7 linked regions of the Oryctolagus cuniculus genome follow. The protein of the gene in region 2 interacts with the protein of the main gene of each other region in a pairwise test. Links are inferred from orthologs where the notes say so. Each region holds a gene or a part of one and is shown on either strand. Other genes may lie near its edges.

The links.
Region 1: the proteins of UBQLN1 (region 2) and EFEMP2 interact in binary tests that used the Homo sapiens proteins (3 or more experiments, as listed by UniProt). The link is inferred for Oryctolagus cuniculus from reciprocal best matches to the Homo sapiens genes UBQLN1 and EFEMP2.
Region 3: the proteins of UBQLN1 (region 2) and AGPAT5 interact in binary tests that used the Homo sapiens proteins (3 or more experiments, as listed by UniProt). The two-hybrid records come from large-scale screens. The link is inferred for Oryctolagus cuniculus from reciprocal best matches to the Homo sapiens genes UBQLN1 and AGPAT5.
Region 4: the proteins of UBQLN1 (region 2) and ENTREP1 interact in a two-hybrid assay, tested with the Homo sapiens proteins (2 studies listed by BioGRID and IntAct). The link is inferred for Oryctolagus cuniculus from reciprocal best matches to the Homo sapiens genes UBQLN1 and ENTREP1.
Region 5: the proteins of UBQLN1 (region 2) and KLHL42 interact in binary tests that used the Homo sapiens proteins (3 or more experiments, as listed by UniProt). The two-hybrid records come from large-scale screens. The link is inferred for Oryctolagus cuniculus from reciprocal best matches to the Homo sapiens genes UBQLN1 and KLHL42.
Region 6: the proteins of UBQLN1 (region 2) and FZD7 interact in binary tests that used the Homo sapiens proteins (3 or more experiments, as listed by UniProt). The two-hybrid records come from large-scale screens. The link is inferred for Oryctolagus cuniculus from reciprocal best matches to the Homo sapiens genes UBQLN1 and FZD7.
Region 7: the proteins of UBQLN1 (region 2) and TXNDC12 interact in binary tests that used the Homo sapiens proteins (3 or more experiments, as listed by UniProt). The two-hybrid records come from large-scale screens. The link is inferred for Oryctolagus cuniculus from reciprocal best matches to the Homo sapiens genes UBQLN1 and TXNDC12.

Annotation. Positions count from the first base shown.
Region 1 is NC_091432.1:5,900,892-5,904,873, reverse strand, and holds the end of EFEMP2 (EGF-containing fibulin-like extracellular matrix protein 2), read right to left. Parts: intron 2,891-3,982; coding exon 2,771-2,890; intron 2,697-2,770; coding exon 2,570-2,696; intron 2,334-2,569; coding exon 2,138-2,333; intron 986-2,137; coding exon 824-985; 3' UTR 501-823; downstream 1-500. Other genes in the region: crossover junction endonuclease MUS81, read left to right, coding at 1-62, 152-218. UniProt on the Homo sapiens protein: Plays a crucial role in elastic fiber formation in tissue, and in the formation of ultrastructural connections between elastic laminae and smooth muscle cells in the aorta, therefore participates in terminal differentiation and maturation of smooth muscle cell (SMC) and in the mechanical properties and wall integrity maintenance of the aorta.
Region 2 is NC_091432.1:134,662,780-134,666,882, forward strand, and holds the start of UBQLN1 (ubiquilin-1), read right to left. Parts: upstream 2,801-4,103; 5' UTR 2,535-2,800; coding exon 2,355-2,534; intron 1,350-2,354; exon of another isoform or gene 1,335-1,349; coding exon of another isoform or gene 1,329-1,334; intron 1-1,328. UniProt on the Homo sapiens protein: Plays an important role in the regulation of different protein degradation mechanisms and pathways including ubiquitin-proteasome system (UPS), autophagy and endoplasmic reticulum-associated protein degradation (ERAD) pathway.
Region 3 is NC_091439.1:113,092,042-113,095,541, forward strand, and holds part of AGPAT5 (1-acyl-sn-glycerol-3-phosphate acyltransferase epsilon), read right to left. Parts: intron 1,608-3,500; coding exon 1,449-1,607; intron 1-1,448. UniProt on the Homo sapiens protein: Converts 1-acyl-sn-glycerol-3-phosphate (lysophosphatidic acid or LPA) into 1,2-diacyl-sn-glycerol-3-phosphate (phosphatidic acid or PA) by incorporating an acyl moiety at the sn-2 position of the glycerol backbone.
Region 4 is NC_091432.1:161,045,866-161,049,365, forward strand, and holds part of ENTREP1 (endosomal transmembrane epsin interactor 1), read right to left. Parts: intron 710-3,500; coding exon 557-709; intron 1-556. UniProt on the Homo sapiens protein: Functions as an activator of the E3 ubiquitin protein ligase ITCH in the ubiquitination of the CXCL12-activated CXCR4 receptor. Thereby, triggers CXCR4 endocytosis and desensitization, negatively regulating the CXCL12/CXCR4 signaling pathway.
Region 5 is NC_091440.1:124,898,438-124,902,417, reverse strand, and holds the start of KLHL42 (kelch-like protein 42), read right to left. Parts: upstream 2,801-3,980; 5' UTR 2,720-2,800; coding exon 1,848-2,719; intron 1-1,847. UniProt on the Homo sapiens protein: Substrate-specific adapter of a BCR (BTB-CUL3-RBX1) E3 ubiquitin-protein ligase complex required for mitotic progression and cytokinesis. The BCR(KLHL42) E3 ubiquitin ligase complex mediates the ubiquitination and subsequent degradation of KATNA1.
Region 6 is NC_091434.1:37,924,836-37,928,978, forward strand, and holds the start of FZD7 (frizzled-7), read right to left. Parts: upstream 2,801-4,143; 5' UTR 1,997-2,800; coding exon 272-1,996; 3' UTR 1-271. UniProt on the Homo sapiens protein: Receptor for Wnt proteins.
Region 7 is NC_091438.1:120,916,479-120,919,892, reverse strand, and holds part of TXNDC12 (thioredoxin domain-containing protein 12), read right to left. Parts: intron 2,150-3,414; coding exon 2,080-2,149; intron 1,401-2,079; coding exon 1,317-1,400; intron 1-1,316. UniProt on the Homo sapiens protein: Protein-disulfide reductase of the endoplasmic reticulum that promotes disulfide bond formation in client proteins through its thiol-disulfide oxidase activity.

The sequences.
Region 1 (3,982 bases), about 130 Mb from region 2:
TGCGGCAGCCCCAAGGAGCAGGAGATGTTGCTCAGCACCGTCAAGTGCGGGCGTCTGCAGAGGTGAGGCCAGGAGGCGGGGCGCGGCAGGGGCGGGGCGGGGCGGGGCTGCCCTGGGCCCAGGGGGCCCTCACCTGCCCCTCTTCCTGCAGGAACCTGGGGCCTGTTCTGAGCAGGACCTTATCCCAGCTCTACTGCAGCTGCGGCCCGCTGACCTGAGCTGCGCCGGGAGGCAGAGCCCCGGCTCCCTCCCTCCCTCCCTCCCAGGCCTTTTAACCAGGGCCTCGGGCCACAATAAAAATGAAGTCTGCAGCCTCGGTGTGTGGGGGGCGCGTGGGCCCAGCAGTCGTTAGAGCGAGTCCTCCAGGCCTGGGGCTCCCGGGCCTGGGGCCGCAGTGCGCGGCGACCTTGACCTGGTTTGCAGGAGCGGATGGTCCCTGAGCAGAGTCCCGCTGCTGCGAGGTTCTCTGGCTTGGGAAAGAAGAGTGGAAGACCACAGCAAGCAGTTGCCTCCTTTATAACTTAGAACACAGGCCCAGGGAGCGGCGAGGGCTGTCCGAGGCCTGGCCCGGAGCTGGGACTGGGCCCGTGGCGCTGTCCGTCGTGGGGGGGGGTGTCCGCAGGTCCCTGCAGGGGGCCAGCCAGGCCTACTGCACTTCAGTCTGCACATTCCCCTCCTTCCCTCTGGGGGCAGCCCCGCCCCTCCCCGGCGGCCTGGGCCAGCAGGGCTCCTCCTTTGTCCCTTTATTGCCTGTCCCTCTCTGCCCCTCACAACGGCATCTTGCACGTGAGCGGAGCAGTCACCCCGCGCCCCCACCCGCCCCTCAGAAGGCGTAGGCCCCCACGAAGACGGTGAGTCTCAGCACGGAGCTGGCCCGGTAGCTCATGAGGGAGTTCATGGTGACCATCTCCAGGTCCAGCACGTACTCCCGGGGGCCTGTCACCGGCCGGGCAAGGACCAGCATGGCGCTGACATTGTTGATTTGCTGCAGGGCACACGGGTTGGGTCAGCCTGGATTCCGGGACCCTGCTCCAGTCACCGTCTCCCCTCCCCTCCTGCCCTCGGGGAGCCACAGGTGCCCCCCCCCCCCCAGCCGGTTCTGTCCAACCAGGGCTCAAGGCCAGGTGTGACGCTGCGGGGTGGTGAGGCCTTTGGTGACTGGAGCGGGCAGACTCCCCTTTGAAGCACCCACTTCCCAGAAATAAAAAAAAAAAAAAACTGGCAGGCGCAGTGGCACAGCAGGTGAAGGCCCTGCGGGGGGCACCCGCGTCCCACAGGGGAGTGCCTGGCTCCGGCTCCTGCTAGTCCCCCCGGAGACCTGAGTGCACGGGTTTCTGCCGCCCATATGGGAGACCCAGAGGGAGTTCCTGGCTTCTAGCTTCAGTCTGGCCCCGCCCTGGCAGTTGCAGATATGTGGGGAGGGGGTGAACCTGCAGATGGAAGATTCTCTCTCTCTCCCTCTAACTTCAAATAAATAAAGTTTAAATAGCTGGCGTGCCGTAGCAGGAAAAACAGCTGCCTATGACGCCGGCATCCCATATGGGTGCTGGTTTGAGTCCCGGCTGCTCCGCTTCCAGTCCAGCTCCCTGCTAATGCGCCTGGGAAAGCAGTGGAAGGTGGCCCAGGTGCTTGGGCCCTGCACACATGTGGGAGACCCGCATGAAGCTCCTGGCTTTGGCCTGGCCCAGCCCAGTGGAATATCTTTTTCTCTGTGTGTCTAACTCTTTCAAATAAATAAATCCTTAGAGGGAAAAAAAATGAATAAGTAAAACCCAAGCACGGACCGCAGACACACCGCACACGAGGGCCCTGGCTTGAGACTTGCGCTGCTCTGTGGACCCCCTCACCTACAGCCCCACCAGCAGGGCTGCATCCTCTGGCCCCAGACCCCTGCACGAGCCCCCAACACCATTCCCTTGTTTTATGGGTGAGGAAATTGAGGTCGGATGGTAGACACCATACCAGGCCTAACCCCCTCCCCCCTCCCCCCGCCCCGGGGAGCAGCCCCACCTCCCTACAGAAGCCCCACCTCCCCGGGGGCGGGGCATGGCACGGAACCACGGGAACGTCTCCCACTCCAGGCCCACTCCAGGCTTCCGGAATTCAGCCGAGGGCTGGGGGTGAGGGAGAGCCTTACCCTGATGTAGAAGTCTCCCTGTGAGTTCCCGGCGCGGATCTGGAAGGCGTTGTAGGCGCCGGGGTAGACAGACGTGGCCTGGATCTGGAACACGTCGGCAGGGACGCTGCGCTCGGAGGTGATGCTCATGTAGCGGTGCACGATGGACGAAGGCTGCTCTCGACACAGGGGATTGGAAGCCGGACAGAGGCAGCGGCTAGAGACCCCAAGGCGCGGGACACAAATGAAGTCCTAGCTCATCTTCCCAGGCCCCCACCCCGGCCCCGAAACTTCGCCCACCTGCTCCATTCCCCTGGAACTGTGGGCAGGGTTTAGCCATGAAAGACTACAACTCCCATCAGCCCTTGTGGGCACTCATCCGCTCAAGCGGGCAGCAGTCCACCCCAAAGCCTTCTGGGTGTTGTAGTTTCTGCTGGCACAGCAGGGACTCACTTGTCTGACACTTGCACGTAGGGCTCCACGCAGCGGTTCGTGTCCACGCAGCGGTAACCCCCGTGGAAGTTAACACAGGTTTGGGCCTCAGAGCACTGGTGTGCACCGGACTCACACTCATCGATGTCTGCGGGGAGGGGGCAGAAGCGTCAGGCCGCCAGCCCCCGACGCCCCTGCCTGCCCCACCTGGGCAGGCCGTACCTTGGCAGAGGCGTGAGGCCATCAGCTGGTAGCCTTGCGGGCAGTGGCAGGAGAAGCGTCCCGGCTCGTTGACACAGCGGTACTGGCAGAGGTAGCTGGAGTAGCTGCACTCGTCGATATCTGCGGAAGGCTGGGGGTGAGGACCCCGGGCCCGGGGCAGGCCTCACGGGTCAGCCCCACAAGGCTTACTGCCAGGGCCCATCACGTGTCGGGCTGAACGTGGGGAGGCAGAGATGAGACAAGGCCCTCCGCCCCAGTAAAGGGCAACAGGGGTCACAGAAGGGCTCCCAGTCCTGCCCCTGGACGGCCCGGCCCCACGACAAAGAAGCTCAGGGCGTCTGCAGGCTCAGATGGACTTTGGGGAACCCCGCTTCCCCTGCCTTTAGAATGAGTGAATGAGGGGCTGGCGCTGTGGTACCGAGGATAAAGCCGCCACCTGCAATGCTGGCCTCCCATACAGGTGCCGGTTCAAATCCCGGCTGCTCCACTTCCGATCCGGCTCACTGCCAACGCCCCTGGGAAAGCAGTGGACGATGGCTCAAGTGCTCGGGCCCCTGCACCCATGTACGTGGGAGACCTGGGTGAACTTCCAGGCTCCTAACCCAGCCTGGCCCAGCCCTGGCTGTAGCGGCCATTTGGGGAATGAACAGCAGATGGAAAATCTCTGTGTATATACCCTGTGTGTGCATAACTGTGCCTTTCAAATAAACAAAAATATGTTTAAAAAACTTGCACAGGTCAGACTAGAGGGATCATGAGGGACCTAGTTTGCAAATCCTGAAACCCCCCAGGGGGCTACACATGCAGACCATTTTCTTTCTTTCTGTTTTTTATTTCATTTTCATTTTATTTGAAAGGCATAGAGACAGAAACCTTCCATTCGTAGTTCACTCCCCAAAGAGCTGCAACAGCCGGGGGTCAGGGAAGCCCAGAGCTCAGTGCAGGTCTCCCGTGTGAGTGACAGACACCCAGCTACGGCGGCTCCACCTGCTGCCTCCCAGGGCACCAATTAGCAGGGAGCTGGGACTGTGAGTGGAGCTGGGCTCGGACTCAGGTATTCAGGTACGAGGCATGGGCAGCTCAAGCAGGGTCTTCTCCGTCCTCTCCAACACCTGTCCTGGGCCCACGTTTCCGCAGGCCCAGGTAGGTAAGGAGGTGCACTGTACGGGGCAGGTTCTGGAGAAGTGACAGTTCGTCTTGGGGCACTGCGGC
Region 2 (4,103 bases):
TAACTACCATCAGAAAAAGTTACATCAGAAAAGCTTCAATTTATCCGTGAAAAATTCACTTCGGGAGTGCAGGCATTTAACCTAGGAATTGAGACACCTGCATTGACATAAGAGTGCCTTGTTCCACGTCTGCCTCCCTCTTCCTGCAAACGCAGACCCTGGAAGGCTCAGTGCTGGCTGAAGTCACTGAATTCCTGCCACCCACATGGGAAACTTGGATTGCATTCCGGGATTCAGACTTCAGCCCAACCCAATGCGGGCCCCCGCCAAGCATTTGGGAAGTGAACCAGAGGATAAGAGACTAACTGTGTGCTCGCTCTCACACACACTCACTTGCTCTCTGCCTCTCAAATGAACTTTTCCAAAAAATACAATGAACAGTTATTACTTTTTAAAACATTCACTTTCGTTTTAGGGGGTAAAAATGAAAACTTCCACAGACCTTACAATTTTAATTGCACCATCCCAAAAAAGAAAAATCATGCTTACAGATGCTGACCTACATAAATTTTTCTATTTATAAAATATTAACTATTCTCAATCTTTTGCAGTAAAATGCTGAAAACAGCTAGGATGGTGAAGGTCCGAATTAAGAAACACAGAAAGAAAAGTAAAGGGCTTCAAGAATGTAATCTGGTCACACATACAGTAAAGTAGTGGGCACGTGAAGACTTCTGATGTCAACTGTCAGCAGGGCTGTGGACCAACAGGAACTCCCATATGTCACTGCTGGAACTGTAAGAGCACTAATAGTTTCTTTTTAATGTTGTCACTTGAACAACTGCCCTATGACTATCGTTCCATTTCTAAACACTGACCATGAGTGATCAAAGTAGACATCCCTGAAAGATTTGCACAGTAACCAACCAGAAACCCAGGCGACCCTCGATGGCGAAGAAATTATGGTTTATCCATACAGTGGAAACTGCACAACAACTAAAAGGAGTAACTACTCATACAGGCAAGAATGAATCTCACAAACATCATGCGGGGAGGAGGGAGCCTTACCCAGAGGAGTACATTACATACTGTATGGTTCCACTTAAGTTCTGGAACACGCGAACGTGACATATGGTGACAAGAAACAAAACAAAAGTTGGGGGGTGGGGCAGTGACTGAACTGACTGGGACAGGCAAGAGTAAACTTTCTAGTCAGTCAGGAAGAGAATACTCTACACCTTGTTACCAGCTTGACCTACAAAGACGAAGGCATTTGAGAACAGAATGGCAACCCTGGTGAATTTCATGTCAAATTTACCTAAAAGGGGGGGCGCCTCAAGTTAATGACGCACACAATGCTTGGCAATGCCTTTCAGGTTTACACATACCGACATCAGCAACTCGGAAATACATCCAAGACGCAGTCTATTACAACAGAGGAGACAGCTGAGCGAATGCAGGAAAACACTGATCTCAGGCGAGGGTCACCCTCGTGGCTCGTCTTCCAGCCGTTCTACACGTATATAAACATGTCAAGGAAAACTGTTAAGGATGCTGGGAGACAAAAACAGAGTGATGGAGTTGATCAGGAGGTCCCACACTCCTCACCGCTCCACCAAGCACGGCCCCACCGCGCTCCGTCCCCAGGGCCGGCTCACACCCAGGCCGGGACCGGGTGCTCGTGCGAGCGGGCTTCCCGGGTGACCCGCGGAATCCGTACCACTGAGTATCTGCTCATCTCCACTAACTCCACTTTGTTTCCGCTCACCCACTCACGACTGCTGTACCCGCTCAGTCGCTGCAGCCCCTCTAAAACGCAAACAAAACCCCACCCGACGGGGCATCCCAAAGACCACAAATGCAATACAATAAAGAAACAGGAAGTCATCAATGAACGAAAGTCGTCCGCTTCTCTCCTTTAGGCCTAAGACGTGGCTGAAAGCAATTCCTACGTCATAGTCGATTTTTTTTTTTTAAATCAGGCTGGAAAGCAGGAAAGGTTTCGGCAGTCAAAACGCAGAATGCGATGCACGCGCTGCTCACCCCGATACCCACCCCAACCCGCGGGCAGGTGGAACAAAGCACACACACGCACACGACCCCAACCGCACCGCCTCCAAGATCCGCCGCACAAAACCGCAGCCCGCACCGGCGCGGACCCCCGGCCCCGCCCGCAGGCAGCCGCTGGTCCCTTTCCTTTGTGCGGAGCTGCAGGGGAGGCGGCGGCGGGCGGGCAGCTGGGCACCGGGGGACGCGAGGACGGCTCCGGGCCCGGCGCGGCGGGGCGGCCCCGACACGGACCTCGGCGGACCGAGCCCCCAACCTGGGTGCCACCCGCGGCGGCCTGAGACCCGCAGGGCAGCCCGCGGCACCTCCCGAGGCCCACCCGAAACCGGCCGCTCCGGCCGCCTCACCTGCTGGACCGAGCTGTTCTCGGGCACGGCGAACTCCTCCTTCTCCTTCGGGGTCTTCACGGTGACTTTCATGATCTTGGGCTCCGCCGAGGCGGCGGCGGCGGCGGCGCCAGCACCTTCGGCCGCGGCGGCGCCGTCCTGCGAGCCCGCAGGGCCGCCGCTTTCACCACTCTCGGCCATGGCGGCGGCGGCGGCGGCGGTGACTCAGGCGAGCAGGAGGGAGCGGGCGAACGAGGGCGAGCCAGGCGACGCCAGAGCCGGCCGGCCCGGGCGGCGGGGAAGGCAGGGCAACGCCGCCTCGGGGCCGCCCTGGCAGCCGGGGAGCCGCGCTCGCTGGGGGGCCGGCGCAGGCAGGCCCGACTCGGGCGCTCGGCAGCCGCCGCGGAGTCAGCCGCCGCTCGCTCGCAGCGACATCCGCAGCCGCCGCCGCCGCTTCCTCCTCCTCCTCCCCGCCCCTCCCCCACGCTCCTGCGCCGGCGCCGCGCGGGGCACGCCGGGTAACGCGGCCGGCGACGGCGCCGAGTCATCCCCCGGCCGGCGCGCTTTGGGGGGCTCCGGCTCGGTGTCTCTTCCTCTCCCGCCCAAAGTGTGGGAGAAAGAGCAAAATGGGGCGAGTTGAGGCTTTTCATTTTTTTTTAACAGCTCCCCTTTCACCACACACACACACTTCACCAAAAAATAAAACGCGGTGTCCGGGCGCACTGTGGCGGCGCGCCGCGATGACGTCACGGGTAGCGAAATTACTAGAAAGGGGTTCGACCACTGAGGGCCGCGGCCGAGTGTGCGCCTGCGCGCTCGTGATCCCGGTAGTCTCCCCACCCTTTTACGTCGCTCCCCGACTCTGCGGTGGGCGAGGAGTCGCCTCGCCTCGCCTCGCCTGGCCTGGCCTGCTGGCTTCTCCCCGACTTAGGTTTCCGTGTCCGGGACCCGTGGCGGGGAGCGTCTGGGGGTTAATTAGCGGTGAGGGGGTTTGTTATTTCACTATGCTAGGTGTTGCGTGCGTGGAAGACGTCAAGGCGTGTTGTGGCTGTTCTGGGCACGGGAGTTGGAGGACAGTTAACGGAGGAGGGGGAAAGGTGTTCATCACGGCGGGAGGAGGATGGAGTGGGCGCTTGGGACCCCTGCGCAACCCGCGGGGTCGCCGCTGGGGGCTGCGCTTCCCGCCCTCGAGCGAGGTCGCGGCGGCTCCCCCGGGGCCCAGCCGCTGTCCATTTCCTACTCCATCCCAGTTCCTGTTTTAGGTGACACCTAGGATCGGTCAACCTGTCTCGGTGCGCGCAGGAGCAGGAAGTTAGTGTACCTCTGAGAAGCCAGCGTTTGCAAATTATGTCATCGTTTGGTTTAAAGATGACTTGCAAGCAAAGTACAGCCCAGTACCTTGTATTAAGCAGTATTGCCCAATTGTAAACCCTGAGCGCCCGCAAGGGCCCCGGTTAAGCACATACACACACACACACACACACACACACACTGTTTTTGCACTCCTTTAGGCCTAAGACGTGGCTGAAAGCAATTCCTACGTCATAGTCGATTTTTTTTTTAAATCAGGCTGGAAGACAGGAAAGGTTTCGGCAGTCAAAACGCAGAATGCGATGCACGCGCTGCTCACCCCGATACCCACCCCAACCCGTTCTATAATAAATACTGTTGTATAAACACTGGGTTTTTGTTTGTTTGTTTGTTTAGCAGGAGCCTGTGGGGACTGTATCTACAAGAAGTTCTGAAGGTATAGATTGCAATGAAGATAGC
Region 3 (3,500 bases), on a different chromosome or scaffold from region 2:
TAGGGAGGACAGCAATCATCCCTAAGATGGAAATACTTGCACTTGAGACACTGGCCTCCAAGCTCCCTCTCAAATCCTCCCCGCTCTGGGCAGCTTCTGTCTATATCTTTGAATCAAAGAGCATTTCTTCTAAAACTTAGGTGAGCTACATATGGTCACTGTATAACAGAATGATCACTTTATAACTGCACTCTCTCTGTACTCTGAAACATCCTTGGCATCTCAAGAACACAACAGATTATTAAATAATTTAATAGTGCACAGTATTATATCCAGACAATCTGAGCTTAAGTTTGGATGAAATCCTTTCTATCCTTGCTAACCTCTAAATGCCTGAATAATGTTTATTTCTGCAAATGTTTCACTGCAGCTACGAGCATTATTCTATACAATTTCAAAGGCACATCAAATGCAGAGGAATGCTTTGAGAGGAAATTTAAATATAAAATGTGCTAGTGGTTCATTCTTTGAACACCTACCTTCAAGAGACAATACTGATGCAAGCAACCTGGGAAGCCTGTGGATTCAAGTCCAAACAGCTGCCCAGGGAAAAGACAAAATACTTCCCTGTTTGCCTACCCCTAGATTTAAATTTCTCTAATGGTCAACAGTGTCTTTGGTTAAGTTCCACCAAACTACTGTGCTCACTTAAAACTTTCTCAGGACAGGCGTTGTAGCCTAGTGGGTAAAGCACTGCCTATAATGCTGGCATCCCACAGGGCACCAGTTCAAGTCCCAGCTGCTCCACTTCTGATCCAGCTCCCTGCTAATGCACCTGGGAAAAGCAGCAGAAGATGGCCCAAGTGTTTGGGCCCTGTACCCATGTGGGAGACCCAGATGAAACTCCTGGTTCTTGGCTTCAGCTTGGTCCAGACTCCAGCTCTTGTAGCCATTTGGGGAGCAAGCCAGTGGATAGAAGACCTCTTTCTCTCTATCTCCTTCTGATTTAAAAATAAATATTTTAAAAACTTCTCTTCATTATATCTGACACAGATGTAAAGGTCTCTAAAATCCAGCACATGTTTGAGAAGGGAAATCACACATTCTCCTTGTCAACACTGACACTATACTTGGTGAACAGTTTATGAAATGATTATCACTGACAATTAATGAACAGCTCAATATTGCTGGATGGTTCTCCCACTGCTAGCTCCCTCCCATGATTTGTGGAATATCTTTTTCTGGATGAATTTTGGACAGGAGAAGTCTCCCAAAAGACTCATATGGCAGCCAAGAAATACCTAACTTACCAGGATGAATTACATTTCAACTGTTACTGTCAATAACATCTTGAAAAACAAACCAAGTAAATGTAATGAAGGAAAAATGAAATATACATTAATAAAGAGTCATTGCTTGTATGTGTCATATTTCAGGTACATATGTGTGGTTTCAGGTGTCTCTGTGCTCAAAGCATACAGCTTCAAGTACAGACAACATCAACTCACCAGTCATGGACGGTGATACTTTCCGCTGCCCTTTGTCAGTTTTCCCCTCGTAAACCACTGTAACATCATAAATCGCATCTAAGTAATTCTTCATAGAATCAAAAGCGACATGAGTTGCCTTTATTCTTGGTGTTAGCACATGTTTTAATACTGGAAGACCTAGAAAAGAAGTCAATCAGTGTGGCTATAAATTACCAACACATTAAGTCTGACTTCTGACTTGTTTAAATTTCCACAAATAGACCAAAATACAGTATTACACTAATTTAATATCTTTAGGGCTTTAAGTGCAAAAAGGACTCTCACATGACTTCTCCTGTTTAAATCAGCATCTCTTTATGACATATTTATAAAACTTCTGCACGCACAAGACACTGTGTTGGAAGCTGGCAGAAAACCAGCCCTCAGGAAACTTGGGACCCATGGAGAACCCTTCAGTGTGGTGAAGTCCGACACAGGCAAATGCTAGATCCCCTTCGCTGGCAACTGAATCGAGATGAAGAACCCTGCCCGTGGTCACTCATGATGCTTCAGGAGAACAAGTTTAATTCCTGACTCCTGGTCCATGAATCCTCTAACTCCATTTCTCTTCAAACAGTGATGGGGGAGTCGGAGATAACTTAAATGTCCCCCACTATGCATAAGACCCAACGTAAGAGAGCTGATATGGTCCATATGTTGTGAGATACAAACCTAATATTATTCAGTTTAAACTGAAGAATCCAGCTTCTTGATACACTTTTAAAAATTGAGACATAATTCATATGCCATAAAATTCTCCACTTTAAAGTACACAATTCAGCGGTTTCAGTCTATTCAGACCTGTGCAATCACCACCCCTGCGTCACCCCCAACACACACCTGCAGCATGAGTATACTGTACACTCCCCTGGCCACCTGCTCTGGGTCTCTATGGCTCTGCCTGTCCTGATATTTCACGTGAAGGGAACCTTTTGTGTCTTATTTCACTCAGCATGTTTTAGGCTTACGTACATGGTTGTGTATCAGTACCTCAACCCATTTTAATGGCTGCAAAAAGCATTCCATAGTATGGATAGGTGGCTTCTTAAAGTTATCCAATTGTACGTATTTATGGGGTCCAGAGTGATAATCCAATACATGAACATAATGTGTAATGATCAAATGAGGGTAGATGGCACGGCCATCTCCACACACATTTAAAAATCTTCCTGATTACCACATAGTAGTTGTACATAGTTACAGGGAACAGTGTGATACTTCTACATGTACACGATGTTTCCACTTCCTTACCCTTGGTGTTTGGAGCCTCCCTGCTTCTGACTGCTCATGAAGATGTTACTGTACGCTACAGTCATCCCCTTGTGCTGAGGAGCGCTAGAGCTTATTTTTCTCTCTTAACTGTGCTTTGGCACCCTTCATCTAGTCTCCTTCCAGTCCCACCCCTATAATGTCTAATAATCACTATTGTACACTCAGATCAACTTTTTAGCTTCCACATGACAGAAAACATGCAGTATCTGTCTGCATCTGACTTATTTAACACAATGATCTCCAGTTCCATCCATTTTGATGCCAAATAATATTCTACTATGTTTACATCCCATATTCTTTATTCATTCATCTACTGATGGGCATCTGGATTGAGTCCATCTTAGCGAGTGGGCATACTGCAGCAATAAACATGGGAGTCTAGGTATGATATGCCAATTTTATTTCCTGTGGATATATACCCAAAAGTGGAAAAGGTGGAAACTGTAGACATGTTTTCAATGTTTGAGGAACCTCCATAATGGTTTCCATAATGGCTGGACTAACTTACATTCCCACCAACACTGTATCCATTTTCTTTTCTTCATATCCTCACCAGCACTTGTTATTTTGGGTCTCTTTTATAATAACCATTCTAACTGGAATTGATGGTATCTCATGTGGCTTTGGTCTGCACTTCCCTAATAGCTGATAATGTTGAGCATCTTTTTATAATTTTGTTGGCTATTTTACTTTTTCTTTTGAGAAGTGTCTTCATATCATTTGCTCATTTTTAATCGGACTGTTTGGTTTTTGTTGTTC
Region 4 (3,500 bases), about 26 Mb from region 2:
TTTCCACCTTTGCATGAACTTTTTGAAGTTCATAATCAGAAAAAAGTTTTTTTAAAACTTTTTAAGTAAATAACATCCATACACAAACACGCTGAAAACTGACAGGGAGAGAGCGTGTGCATTTCACACCACTCAAAGTTCTGAAAACAGGGTTGAATTTCAATGATTCAAGCTACCTCAACAACAAGTGTTGAATTATAAAGGACAGGTAAAAACGAGTACACTCCTCCGGCTTTTTCCTTACCGATCATAATTCCACAGGGTTACAAGCACCTGGACTTTCAGGCCTGGGACTGTGTGACTTTCTTCCTGGGCTACGCGGTAGTGAGCAGTCCAATGCTTTGGGTGACAACGACTTTCAAACACAAACCCTACCAGCCTCAGAAGACGTGGCCCAGGGCCATCGCTCCCGTGCGCGTGGAACGCCTGGCTCTCCCCGGGACGCTGAGCCTCCCTCCAGAGACCACAGAACCTGCAGGCCACAGCCACCTGCTTTGCCCTGGCGCCTTTGGACAAATGAGCAGAGCGCTCTTCAGAGAGCTTGGGGTGAGCTCACCTCTCTCCTCGCAGTGATGGAGCACGGGGTCACTCTTTGACCTTGCCCGCAGGGGTGGGGGGGCTCTCCGGCTTCGCCCGGGAGGCCCCCGGTTTGAGTTGGGGGTGGATAAGGATGTGCTTTCTTCTCCAGGTGTGCTCGGGATGTCCTCACCTGATAGAGAGAGAGAAAACATAAATGATCCTTCTGCAGCCTTCAAAGTGCTGGGCAGGAAACACCTGCGGACCCAGGCCTGCCAGGGCCAAAGTGATACACAGTCACTAACATTTACTTAGGCTGCTGGCCCGGGGAGCTCTTTCCCAGCGCTATGGGAAAATCTGCCTCTCCAAACCACCCCTCCACACCTAAAACAAGCAAAACAAAACAAAACAAAACAAAAAAACGTTAAATTCAAAAGCGAAACAAAGACCCACGCCAAAATGTTCGTTTTTCCCAAAACAGCTCAGAATCTCCCTGGAGGCATCCTCCTGCAGCTCAGGATGAGTCTGGCCCCATGGAAGGGACCACCTGCACAGGTTGGGGAGGGGGAGCTGCCGTGTGGGCTGAGACCAAATGCAAGCAGAGGAGGAATCTGCAAACCCCAGAGCAGCGCAGGCCGGGCGGTGAAACTTGCAGACAGTGAAGTTAAGAGCTAGAGGCCATTCAAGGAATCAGCGAGCCCGCTCTGGAACTAAATGGCTTCTGCTCAGGACAACAAAATTGCATCGTTTGGAGGCCTGAGTTGTGGCTCAGGAAACTGTTGTTACAAGTGAAAGAATCAGAGGCAGGCATATGTCGCAGTAGTTGAGACACTGCTTGGGACGCCTGCATCCCCTCTCGGAGTGCCTGGTTCAAGCCCTGGCTCCTCGGCTTCTGATCCAGCTTCTTGCTGAGGCACACCCTGGGAAGCAGCAGACGATCACTCAAACAGCTGAATACCTGCCACCCACATGGAGATCTGGATTGAGTACCCAGCTCCTGGCTGTTGCAGGCCTCTGAGAGTGAACCAGTGGATGCAGTAACTCTCTCCCTCTCACTCTCTTGCTATCTCTATATCTCTCCCTGCCTTTCAAATAAAATGAAAATAATAAGTTTACTTTATTTAAAGATTTATTATTTGAAAGGCAGAGTTACAGATAGGCAGAGGCAGAGAGAGAAAGAGAGAGAGAGAGAGTCTTCCATCCACCGGTTCATTTCCCAGATGGCCGCAATGGCTGGAGCTAAACTGATCCAAAGCCAGGAGCCAGGAGCCTCCTCCAGGTCTCCCACATGGGTGCAGGGGCCCAAGCGCTTGGGCCATCTTCTACTGCTTTCCCAGGCCATAGCAGAGAGCTGGATCGGAAGTGAAGCAGCCTGGACTCAAACCGGCACCCATATAGGATGCCAGTACTGCATACCAGGGCTTTAACCCATTGTGCCACAGCGCTGGCCCCAGTTTACTTTTTAAAAAGTTTTAAATGGAAGACCTTGGGACAGACATTTAACCTAGTGATGAAGATTCTGGTTAAGACACCTGCAGTCCCATATCAGAATGGCTGGGTTTGATACCCAACTCCAACTCCTGACTCCACTTTCCTGCTAATGCAGGCCCTGGGAGGCAGCAATGATACCTCAAGTCATTGGGTTCTTGCTACACACATGGGAGACCTGGACTGGGTTCCTGGCTCCTGGCTTTGTTGCATCTGTTTTGGAGTGAACTAGTTGATGAGAGTTTTTCTCTAATTGGTTGATTGAAAAACATATAAAAAGATCAGCTTGTATTGTGGTACTGCAGGGTAGGCCATCACTTGGGACATTTACATCTCATACCAGAGTGCCTAGGATACAGTCCTAACCCCACATCACATCCAGCTCCCTGCTGATGTTCCTGGGAGGCAGCAGATGAGAGCCCAAGTGCTTGGGCTCCTGACACACAGGTGGGAGACTCGGCTGGAGTTCTTGGCTCCTGGTTTGCACCAGGCCCAGCCTCAGCTGCTGCCGGCATTTGGTAAGATCAGTGAATGGAAGAGCACTCTGTATATGCATCTCTTCCTTTCTCTCCTTGTCATTTTGCCTTGCAAATGAATATACAAGCTTTTCTTTAAAAATGGAAGAATTACAAACATAGCTGGGATCACAGTCCCACAGTTCTTCAGAAGATGGAAGGTGAACAGAACAGAAAAACCCATCCAAGGGGCACTGCTGAAAAACGAGGCCCTCTAAAATAGCTGAAAGTTGCTCCAGTATTTATTATCATTTGCAATTTTGTCCCGATAGACACTCCTCTGTGCCGGTTAAAACAGCCCCAGTGTGAGAGAGCGCTAACAGCACTCCCTTACATTACAAGGATAAGTGAAAACTGATTCTAGTATTTAATGGAAGACTGAAAATCAGAGTTCCCGTGAAGGCAGCATGCCCTGGGCCCAAGGTTGACACAGCGCAGGCTCACAGAAAACCCGCCCCCCCGCATTGGAAAAAAAAAAAACAAACTCAGTTTATCTTAACAGGAGAAAGCCACAGCTAAGACAATACGAGAATGGCAAATGGAATCTGTGCTCCATTTCACAGGTTCCTGAGAGTGGTCTGGTTATTCATAAAAGATTCAAAGGGCATTTTTCCTGTTCACCTATGGTCTCCCAGTTAGAAGCCTAACTGGTGATAATGTTGTACCTAGAAAGAAGGATATAGCTGGAGACACTTGCTCCAAAATTTTTTTTTTTAAGATTTACTTTATTTGAAAGGCAAGAGAGAGAGAGAGAGAGAGAGAGAGACTGAAAGAGATCTTCCACCCACTGTTCACTCCCCAAATGGCTGGAACAACCAGGGCTAGGCCAGGCCAAAGCCAGAAGGCAGGAGTTTCTTTCATGTCTCCCATGTGGGTGGCAGGGGCCCAAGGACTTGGACCATCTTCTGCTGCTTTCCCAGGTGCATTAGCAGGGAGCTCAATCGGAAGCAGAGCAGCCAGGACTCCAACTGGCACCCATAT
Region 5 (3,980 bases), on a different chromosome or scaffold from region 2:
TAGCATGGCCAAGCTCTGGCTGTTAGGGTACTGGGGGAGTGAACCAGGAGGTGAGAACTGACACTCTCGCTCTATCTTTCAAATAAAAAGTACAAATTTAAAAATAAAAGAGGCTGGAAGAAAACGTGCTGCTCTGCAGTTACTGCCTCTAGGAGGCGGCGGGAGCAACAGTCTGGGTTTCTCTGCACTCTCCTATTTCCAGTGACTCCGCTGTTCTGTGTCACCAGGAAAGCAGCATACTTTGCAAAGCGAATTTTGCGGTGTGGCAGAACCCATCCCCGAGTCCAGCACCTGTGACGAGGACTCCCCACACTGTGAGGCCTGCAGTCCCTGCTCCACGCTTCCAGGCAGACGTATAAAGATGTCGATAGCAAAAGGAAGCTGCTTCCCTCCTTCTCTCCTTTCCTCCCCCCGCCCCACCACCTCTTCCTGTACCTGCTCTCAGCTTGGCCCCTTTCTCTACTACTTGCCCACCCACCGCAGGCCCCATGTTGCCTTTTTTTTTTTTTTTTTCCTTTCTTCAAGTCATTGTGGAGTTTGTAGACCTGGTAGGGAGATGGTAGGGGTGATAGGAATACAGTCGGCCCTCCATCTCTATGGAGCCAAATGAGGGGAGACAACACCCAAACCAAAAATCACGGGTGTACAGAAGGTGTACAGAATTTCTCTCTTGTTCCCTTAAAACATACAGCATACAGTCAGCGCTGTGGTGTAGCAGGGTGAAGCCTCCACTTGTGGCACCTGCATCCCATATGAGTGCTGGTTCAAGACCCAACTGGGCGCCAGTTCAAAACCCAGCTGCTCCACTTCCAATCCAGCTCTCTGCTAATGGCCTGGGAAACCAATGGAAGATGGCCCAAGGGTGTGGGTCTCCGTACCCTTGTGGGAGACCCAGAAGAAGCTCGTGGCTCCTGGCTTCAGGTTGGCCCAGATCCAGCTGGTACATCCATTTGCGGAGTGAACCAGTGGATGGAAGACCTCTGTCTGTCTCTTCCTCTCCGTCTCTGTAACGCTACCTCTCAAATAAATAAATAAATCAACTATCATGTACACAGCATTCATACCACAGGCATTACAGGCAATCTAGAGAAGACATAAAATGTTTGGGGCGGGGGAAAGGACACGCAGAGGTTATGTCAAACACTGCCATCTCATAGAAGGCTTCAGGACTGGTATCCGACTGGGTCCGAGAACCAGCGCCCTGAGTACAGCTAGGGTGGCTGGATTCCAATTCCACAGGTGACTACCGCCAGGCTCACCCTTTGGGTCAATGACACTGAGAAGGAAGAAGCAAAAGAGAGAACAAAAACTAAGACAGAATCCTACACAGCAAATTCTGGTCACTTTCCAGGGACTGTGTCCTGATCATATATTGGTGCTCTAGGGTGAAAAGCTTCAAAGTCACTGACAGGTTAAAAAAAAAAAAAAGGCACCCCAAGTCAGCATGACAGGTAACTGTCCAGTGTGTCTTTAGAATCACCATCAGAACCTGAAAACTAAAAAGAAGGAAACATCTGTAAAGATGAAACTTAAACAGCAGCCTTTTTTAAATAAACAGGCCCTTCTAGGAAGCCACATTGTTTTTCCCACCAGGAGGAAAATCGTGTTGCTTAAGAACACAAGACCTGCAAGGCAGCCACCCAGGCGCGCTGGCTGACCTCATCCTCCCGGGGCCTCTGCTCGCTGGGAACCCCGCCAACGCCAGAGCCAGCCCGGCTCCGGGGGTGTCATCCCTCCCCCACCCTCAGCACACCCCCAGGGGGCTGCCCAGCAAACCCTGGAGCAACGACGGAAGGAGTGGACCAGGGAGCTGCACGCCCAGCAGCAGCCCCGGGCCAGGCGCCTACCTCTTCTGGTTCATGGAAGCCACCTGGAGCCACTCGTTGGTGCTGGGGTTGTAGGAATGCGCAGCGGAGATCTCCTGGCTGGTGATCCTGTAGCCGCCCACGATGAAGAGGTAGTTGTCCAGAGTGGCCGAGCCGTAGCCCCTGACGTTGACCAGGTCCGGGGGCAGGTTGTTGGCCAGCGGGAACCAGCGCTCAGTCATCTCCTCGTACCTGAGCATGGACGGCGGCTCCCCCTGGTAGGGGTGCGGCGCCAGGGGGCCGCCCAGGAAGTCCCCCAGGGCCACCAGGACCGGGGTCCCCGTCATCCGGGCCTCCCTCAGCCTCTGCTTGAGGCTGACGTCCCCCGGAGCCGGGGGAGGCGACCCCAGCAGGTGGAACTGGGGCTTGCACAGCACCTCGTGGAAGTGCACGGCCATGAAGCGCAGGCAGGCGTCCTGCAGGTCGGGCAGGCCGTACACCTGCGCCAGGCGGTACAGCTCCAGGCAGTTGGTGAGCCGCACCTGGGACAGCAGCAGCTGCAGCAGGGACGTGACCTGCAGGAAGGAAGCCGCCTCCACGAGCGCGGCGAGCAGGCTCGCTTCGTCCAGCTCCTCCTCGCCATCGCCCGCGCCGCCCTTGTCCCCGCGCGGGCCCAGCTGCCAGCCCTCGCGGGCGCCGCCGGCGTTGATGAAGTCGAGCACGAGCCGCAGGCCCGGCGCGCTCAGGCCGCGCAGCTGCTGCACCTCGGGGCCGCCGGCCTCCGGGCTCAGGGCCTCGCGCATGCCGGAGCGGTAGAGGGCGCGGAAGTAGTCGCTCTGCTCGATGAGCTTCCTCTTGCTTACCGGGTAGCAGCGGCCCTCCAGGCGGATCTGCACCACCTCCTCGGCCGACATGGCTGAGCCGCCGCGCGCGGGGCCGCTGCCCGCCAGCTCTGCGCGCAAGCCCGGGGCCGCGCGGGGCGCGCCACGGCAGGGCGGCCCGGAGCGCGGGCGGGCGAGGGCGGCCGCGGCTGCGCCCGGCTTCCCGGGCAGCCCCTCCTCCCGGGCGGCGGCGACGGCGGCGACGGGGACTCGGGCCGAGCTCCTCAGCACCACCACCACCACCCCCGGGGGCGGCCCAGCCTGCGGGGCTCCCTCAGCACCAAAAAAGGCCGGGCCGCCGCGCGCGGGCTCCCCCGGCCGCCGCGTCAGGCGGGGAGGGAATCCCAGCCCGCAGCCGGCCGCCGGCAGCCTCCTCCCCCGCCGGCCCTCGCACTTCCGCCCGCCGGCCGCGCCGCGGCTGGACCCGGCGTGGGGGGCGCGCGGGCAGGTGCGGGCCGGGGCCGGGCTGCGGGGACGCCGGCGGCCCGACGCGGGGGAGCCCGGAGCCGGCCGCTCGCTCAGGGCGAAGGAAGGGGGAGCAAGCGTGACAAGGAAGGGCTGAAGAGAGTTCCGGGTCCGGGGGCCAAACCGGGGGGTCGCCCCCTCAAGGCCCAGGCGCCCGGAGCCACCTGTCCGGTGTGGTCGTCGAGCAGGAGCCATCTTGTGGGAGAAGGGCCCGGCCGGCGGCCCAGGTGGTCTGGGGTCCGGCGTCCTCGTCTCTCTTCAGGGACAGCCGCGGTCCCCCTCGTGTCCGTGAAGTCAGCCCACGTGCCCTCTGTTTTAGAATCAGGTTTTCCCACCACCTCCTTGTCCTACCCCCCCCCCCCCGTAAGAACTAGGAGGCAAAACCCTGTGCTTTTCCGCGTCCTCTCGGTTGCTGACAAACACAAAGATGGTACAGTCAAGGCCAGATCTGCGGATCCCACGGCGAGGGGAAGCCCCGCGCGCCACCCGGGGAGCTGCGGGCGGGCGCCAGGGGGGCAAAGCCAGGGGAGGTTTTTAAGGGCAAAATCGAGGATTCCCAGAAGACGCTTTGACCAGGAACGGGGTGCCAGCCAGTGACCGCGCGGAGGTCCTTGCACAAGTCCGTTTTGTGTTAGTGCCCTTTGTGCAAGCCCGCGTGGTTCAAGCGGACTCTTGGGGTCGTCACTGTCCAGCAGCAGCGGTCAGAACCCTAGCTTCCCTTATTTTTGTTAGGGTTGACACCAGCACCTCCGTTAGGATTCAGACAACTGTAACACTGCACGTGGCTGTTAGAAGACTCACCTCTACCATCAGCGCTCCTGACTTCGGA
Region 6 (4,143 bases), on a different chromosome or scaffold from region 2:
ACCACCATCATCATCAGCCTGAAAGTCTTTGCCAGAAGTCTGTTGATCCAAACCACTTTCCACTAAGGCCTCCTTTCCAACCCCCACCTCCGCGGCCCCCACCCCAATTCTGCAAACAACTCGCTCCCCGGTCGTTTCCCGGTGGAGGGAAAGGTGGTGACCAAAACAAGCCCCCCTACCCACCCGACAGTTCTCTCCCGGCGGCGCCTCCCCCCCCCACCACCACTCACAGCGGGTGGGCGCGGGCAGGGTGTGGGGGAGGGGCCGGGGCTCATACCGCAGTCTCCCCCTTGCTGCTGTGGCTGAGTCTGTGGTAGAAGCGGCGCCACGACTGCAGGGTCTTGCCCGACCAGATCCAGAAGCCCGTGGTGATGCCCACGATCATGGTCATCAGGTACTTGATCATGAAGACCGTGAAGTCGGGGCTCATGGGCGGGAAGTGGCCGGGCGGGCAGGGCACGGCATAGCTCTTGCACGTCTGCAGGAGCCAGGTGCGCTCCCAGTGCTCGCGGAAGGCCTGCTCGTAGAAGTAGCAGGCCAGCACGATGGTGGCGGGCACGGTGTAGAGCACCGAGAACACGCCGATGCGCACCATCAGCTTCTCCAGCTTCTCCGTCTTGGTGCCGTCGTGCTTCATGATGGTGCGGATGCGGAAGAGCGACACGAAGCCGGCCAGCAGGAAGGAGGTGCCGATGAAGAGGTAGACGAAGAGCGGCGCCAGCACGAAGCCCCGCAGCGCGTCCACGCTCGAGAGGCCCACGTAGCACACGCCGCTGAGCAGGTCCCCGTCCACCTGGCCCATGGCCAGGATGGTGATGGTCTTGACGGCCGGCACGGCCCACGCGGCCAGGTGGAAGTACTGCGAGTTGGCCTCGATGGCCTCGTGGCCCCACTTCATGCCGGCCGCCAGGAACCAGGTGAGCGACAGGATGACCCACCAGATGGAGCTGGCCATGCCGAAGAAGTAGAGCACCATGAAGAGGATGGTGCAGCCCTCCTTCTTGGTGCCCTGCGCCACCGTGCGGTAGCCGTCGTCCGAGAAGCGCTCCACGCACACGGCGCGGTCCTCCAGCAGGAAGCCCGCCACGTGCGCCACGGCCACCATGAAGTAGCAGCCCGACAGGAAGATGATGGGCCGCTCTGGGTAGCTGAAGCGCCGCATGTCCACCAGGTAGGTGAGCACGGTGAAGAGGGTCGAGGCGCAGCACAGCACGGACCACACGCCCACCCAGAGGCGGGCGAAGCGCCTCTCCTCCTCCTTGAAGTACATGAGGCCGTTGGCACGGCCCGGCTCGCAAGGGGCGCCACAGTCGCGCTCGCCCAGGAAGCGGTAGCCCAGGTAGGGGGGCACCTTGAGCTGGCGCGGGCACGAGAAGGGGAAGGCGGCGCGGCCCCTGCCGTCCGCAGCCCCCGGGGGCAGCGCGGTGAAGGGCGGGTCCGGCAGGTAGGGCGCCGTGGGGTAGGCGGTGGGGCCGCCGCCGGGGCCTCCGGAGCCGTCGGACGTGTTCTGGCCCACGCAGATCTCGCCGGCGCCGTGCACCGGGAAGTTCTCGCAGCGCAGCCGCTCGGGCCACTGGAAGCCGAACTTGTTCATGAGTGCCTCGCAGCCCTGGCGCGCGCGCTCGCACAGAGAGCGGCAGGGCGGGATGGCCTGATCGAGCACGGTGCACACGGGCGCGTACATGGAGCACAGGAAGAAGCGCAGCTCGGGCGAGCACTGCACCTTCACCAGCGGGTAGAACTGGTGCACCTCGAGGCCCGCGTCCTCCTGGTTCGTGTGGCCCAGCAGGTTGGGCAGGATGGTCTGGTTGTAGGCGATGTCCGTGCACAGCGGGATGGAGATGGGCTGGCAGAAGCCGTGGTCCGGCACCGAGATGCCCTTCTCGCCGTGGTAGGGCTGCGCCCCGGCGCCCGCGGGCAGCGCGCCCAGCAGCGCCAGCACCAGGGCGCACAGGCCCAGGGGCGAACGCGACGCGGCCGCGCCGGGGCCCCGCATCGCCGGCCGCGAGTGCAGCGACGCTCTCAGCCCAGGGAGTGCGATGAGGCGGCTGGGAGAGGCTTGGATGCCGGGAGGCGCCGCCGCGCCCGGCGCATGAGAGTCCTCCCGGCGCCGGGGCCGGGCCGTGGGCGGCGCGGAGCCGAGGGAGCTGCCGCTGGGGTGCCCGCGCCGCGGGGGCGCCGCAGCCGCCTCCGCCCGGCGCTCGCGCGGCCGCCGGGGGCCCAAACGCGTCAGTCTGGGCCGGGGGCGCGGAGGGGGACGGCCTGGCCCTCTCTGCGGGGACGTAACGGTGCGCCTTTCTCTGCGGCGAGGAGCAACAAGCGTCTCCGGCTCCCCTTCAAAGTTTGCCGAAGTCTCTCGAACCCTCCCCCCAACCCAACCCAGCGCACACGGACGCGCACGCCCCCCACTCCAAGTCCGGCCCCCGCCAGGTCAGAGCCGGCGCCGCCGCCGCCGCCTGCTCGCCGGGGCCGCCGCCTCGGAGGTGCTGCTCCGCCTCCTCGCCTCGAGGCTCGGCTCGCCACCGCCTCCTTCGCCTCCTCCTCCACGCCCCGCGCCTTCTTCGGCCCCAAGTTTCAGCCCCAAACGGCTGGCTCTCGCTGAGTCCCACCGGCGCCTCAGAGCCTGGAGCCCGGCGACTTCTGCTGCAAGCACAGTCACTCGGCGTCTGAAGCGGCGAGGCCCCTGTGCCCGCGGCCTGGCCCCGGCCTCTCCGGCCTCGCGCAGCCCCGGCCCCCGAGTCCCGGCGCCCGCCGCCGCCAGCCGCCGGGAGGGAGCGCCGAGTAACGCCTGGGAGCCGCGCCGGTGGCCAGAAGAAGCGTCGGGCTCGCAGCGCTCCGGCCGACCCGCCCCCTCCCCTCCCCCCATTCACAAACCACTCAGGGGGCGGTGCCCGCGCCCCGGCGCGGCCCAATGGTGGCCTTTGTTTTCTCTGGGGCCGCCTCTGGATTGGGTGGAAGTCGGAAGGGGCGGGCAAGGGAACGGGGGTGGGGGGAGGCGGTGACTGCTGCGCTCTGGGCGGATTCCTGAGGGGAGGGGCGGGGGACTGGGAGGGAAAAGTTGGGAAAAACTTTTACCCTGCATTGGCTCAGGGGAGAAAAACGCACCAGAAAGGGAATTTACTTGAAAGATTTGTTCCTCTTCCGGGTGCACTAAACACACATTCCTGAGCAGAAGGGCTCATTCGCCTCAGAGTCGAGAATAGCGCCGCGCCACGGCCGGGGAGCGGGGGCCCGGAGCCGCTTCAGTCGCTTCCCGGCTGGAAACGCTGAGCTTTGGCGGGGGCTTTGGGTGGCGGGATCCTAAGCGTGCGGATCCGGACGGGGTGGGAAGGGGGCGCGCCTTGCGGATTGCTTTTCTCCCTCCGGAGCCGGGCAGACCGCGTAAGGCTGCGGTCCCCTCGCACCCCCTCCCCCGGTTGTAAAAAGGAGGAGGGGTGGCCTCGGAGGAGAAATCGGCGGCAGCCGTGGGGGCCGAGAGCGAAGGCGGGAGGAAGTGCAGACCCTCGAGGAGCGGGTCCGGCGCGGGACTCCAGGCGCGGGGCCCCGGGCCGTCCCGCCCGCGCTCCTCCCGGCCCGGGAGTCCGCCGCCCGCTGAGGTGGCCGCGGCGAGGCCGTAGGAAACGGGGCCGGCCCGAGTGCCCGGCACACTCCGTACGACTCGCAGAGCCTCTGCCGGGGCCCTGTGCCCCTTACTTCTGTGGGCCTGTGGCCTGGGGGTGGGACCCGTCTCCGTTGCGGGAGCATGATCTGATCCTCCATTTGGAATCTGCCCAGGAAAGTTGCCATGCGTGTCAGAAACCAGGGCCGCTGCTCCTGAACGCGTTCTCCAGACCCGGAGAGGGGCTCCCCTTGTTCTCGGGAGCGCCTCCGGACTGGCGAGCGTTCTTTTGTTCTCGGTAAACCTTCCTCCTGCCTCAGGCGCGGGGCGCTCGCGGGGTCGCAAGTGGCCAGAGGGCCTCCCGGTTCTCTCGGGGCGGCCGAGTATAGCGGGGATTCCAGGCGGGAAAGTGACTTCAGTGACATGTTTAGGAAGAAAAAAAAAATCAAAATACTGCCGCCCCCCCGCCCCCCTCCCCCCCCCCCAGTCGCCGCCGAGCCTCTGTTTCATCCTCTGCTTTTCAAATCGTTATCCGGGCCGGCCCC
Region 7 (3,414 bases), on a different chromosome or scaffold from region 2:
TCTATATTGGTGGTTCCACAATAGCATCCTTATATAATGCAGGCCAGGAGCTAGGTTGAGCCAGTGTCTGTAAATCTCAAAAAGCAAATACTCATAAAAGCCAGATGATACAGTTTGTTATTCCCCTTTTGCTTTGCTTATACTGTTAGTAAAGCCAGATCTGAAAGTTCCGGTTTCATGTCAGCTGAGCCACAAGGAATTCAGGGAACAATCTTGGGTTCACATCTGGACTACACTAATGTGGAGATGGCAGTGGTAACTTGGATGAAATTCCAAAGGGAGGGTGAATCTCAAGGTACAAGAGTCAGGGACCTGACACCACTGGCCTTCTCCAGGTAGAAAAGTTCCCTCTCTGGTACCAATCTCCCTGGATCTGCACTTGGCTAGGGAAGATGACATCTCCTTATGCAAGGGAAGAGGTGATGATGTCTCAGATCTCTACATTCTCCCTCTTCTGGGAATAAGAGTGCCAAGGACTCAAAACATAAAGTGACCAACAACCCAGCAATGTGAAAATATGGGACACCAGCAACTGGACTAACAACTCCTTTTTACAGATTAGGGGGAAAAGGAAAACAGCAACAACACACAGTATGAATTCCAACCCTGCCTCTAGAATGACTGCTCAAGGAGTAGGAAACAAAAAAACATGACTTTGCAATTTCAACTTTCCCTTGCCTGTTTGTGCTGATGCTGTTCTCTGTCTGGAATATGTTTTTTTTTCATTCCTTTGCCAACTAGGTCCAATTCTCCAGGGCTCAGGCCACTCATCATTTCCTCTGGCAGGTCTTATAGACTCTCCATGATGGGCTATACCCCTCCCTCCCTCAGCTTGAAATGTCCTTCTCATATCTGTCCAGAAACAAAGTCTTATACTTCTGGGTCCAGTTAGAGTTTAACATCTAAGTGTAAAACTTCTTAGAATTACCCAGCTAACAAGTCGTACCTCCTTCCTATGAATTCCTACAGGAAGAACAGTGTTAGTGAAGTGGAAAAAAACTAAGTTCTGAATCCAAATCCAGGCTCTGCAGCTTATTATCAGTAAGACTACGGGCAAGTGAGGTATTTCTGTGAGGCTCAGATCTTCACGGTTTCCTGTGGGTCATTTGGCTCTTCCACTGGATTCCAAGTAGCTAGGGAAGGACCTCAGTCTAAAGTTCTTTTCCTATATCCTAGAGTGGATCAAGGGAAAACTTAGTCTCACACAGGAGATGCTAGCTAACATGCTGAAGTGAGTTTCCCCCCAGACCTGTGCATGCTTCATCCTAGTTAAATCTAGCAGCAATCCTCCCTCCTTTTCCTCTGCATAGCTGTACCTTGCTCAGCACTGACGTAGAAATACTTGTAGCTTGGGTTTCCACTTTCATTGATGATTTCAGGACGCACCTTGCCACTGGGGTCTATTGGAGATAAAACGGCACAGAGGTTGAGTAATCACAACAGTTACTTCAAGCACTACACGGTATACTAGGCTCTGTGGGAAATTACACCTGTCCGTCTTTGCAGCCTACTATCTCACCATCCCAACCCTGCCTTTCAGGCTGTAATCACAATGATTCCTTGCAATTCCCTGAACACAGCATACACTTCTCACCCCTGGAGTCTGGTACTCGCTGTTGCCTCTTCCTGGCACGTTCCTTTACTGCTTGCCGGAGGCAGGATCATACATTTTTATTTGTGTCTTCTACATAATCTAGCAGAATGCTAAGTAAAGATTAGGTGGTCATTAATAACTCATAAAATTGTCTGTGGGAAGACATTTGTCTGGTTATACTATTCCATTGCCTCAGCTGCAGAGTAGGGTCAAGAGCGGGAATAGTGGCTTATCTCTGCCTAGCAAGGGCTGATGCTCAAATGATGGCTGAATGAATAAATGGATGGCCCGCCTCCTGTCCCTGAGTTAATGGGGAAGATTTTCCTCCAAACTTGCGGTTCTGGCACTCCAGACTCCCCAGCTCTCTTGAAACTGGCTGGTTTTGTTTTGGGCCATCCCAGTAGTTTAACTACATGGAGTCGGTCCCTTCAGGCATTTCTTCTCCATCCTACGATGGATCCCCACATGAAGATTTTGTGCCTTACCCAGGAAAAGGATTCTTGGAATATAACCCCCATCGGGGCTGAAATCTTCATCTTTTGGTTCCTCTTCATCCTATTAAGATTAAATGCGAACCTTGGGTCAGATCCTGTCCTCTCTCCTTGAAAGCTTCTGGTGGCTTCCTTTGTCACTCACAGGAGAACCTGAAGTCGCTGCGATACATAATCTGCCACCTGGGCGCTTCCCTAACTCCACAGGCTACCTGTTTTCAGTCTTCTTTGTTCGGCTTGACATTGCTGTCATTCAACAAGGCAAGCATGCTCCTAACTCGGGCTTCAGGGTTTGCTCTCACCCTCCGCCTGGACACACTTCCCCCATCCTCCACATGGCTTACTCCCCTTTCTGCTTCAGATCTTTGTTCACACATTACCTTCTTTCCTAACTATTTAAAATTTTAAGCCACCCACCACCCTTTAATTCTAGCCATAGCATTTATCACCAACAGTCATACTTTATTTATTTACCTGTCTCTCTACACTACAACGTTATTTCAGTGAGGGAATTGTATCTGCTTTGTTGAGTGCTGAAGTCCCAGTACCTACAGTACTAACTTGCAAACAGTATTTCTTGAATGCAAGAATGAATGAGACTGGCATTTTAGCTGTAACTGTGGTATTCTAGTCCTCCTGGGAGACACAAATATAATCAGTTTTTCTTTTTAAAAAATCTCTGAAGTTGGAGAATGCTCACTGAAAACGGTATTTCTGTCTCCTGAGTGGGGATCCTAATTAATCATAGACAGTAATTAGGAGTTCACGTGCATGGGAAATCAACAGTAATTTTATAACGTATGGTATGGTTCTCATTTCAGGGGTTAAGTGGGGTCATTTCTTCAGACTGAAATATAACTTTGCCTTGGTGAGGTGTATCAGCATTCAGGCCATCCATAAGCTGAAAAGCAATCCCTCAGCTTCCTCAATATTAATTTTTTTTTTTTTTTTTTTTGACAGGCAGAGTGGACAGTGAGAGAGAGAGACAGAGAGAAAGGTCTTCCTTTGCCGTTGGTTCACCCTCCAATGGCCGCCGCGGCCGGCGCGCTGCGGCCGGCGCACCACGCTGATCCGATGGCAGGAGCCAGATACTTATCCTGGTCTCCCATGGGGTGCAGGGCCCAAGCACTTGGGCCATCCTCCACTGCACTCCCTGGCCACAGCAGAGAGCTGGCCTGGAAGAGGGGCAACCGGGACAGAATCCGGCGCCCCGACCGGGACTAGAACCCGGGGTGCCGGCGCCGCAAGGTGGAGGATTAGCCTAGTGAGCCGCGGCGCCGGCCCTCCTCAATATTAATTGTTAGTACGTTCATAAGATTCTCAGTCCCA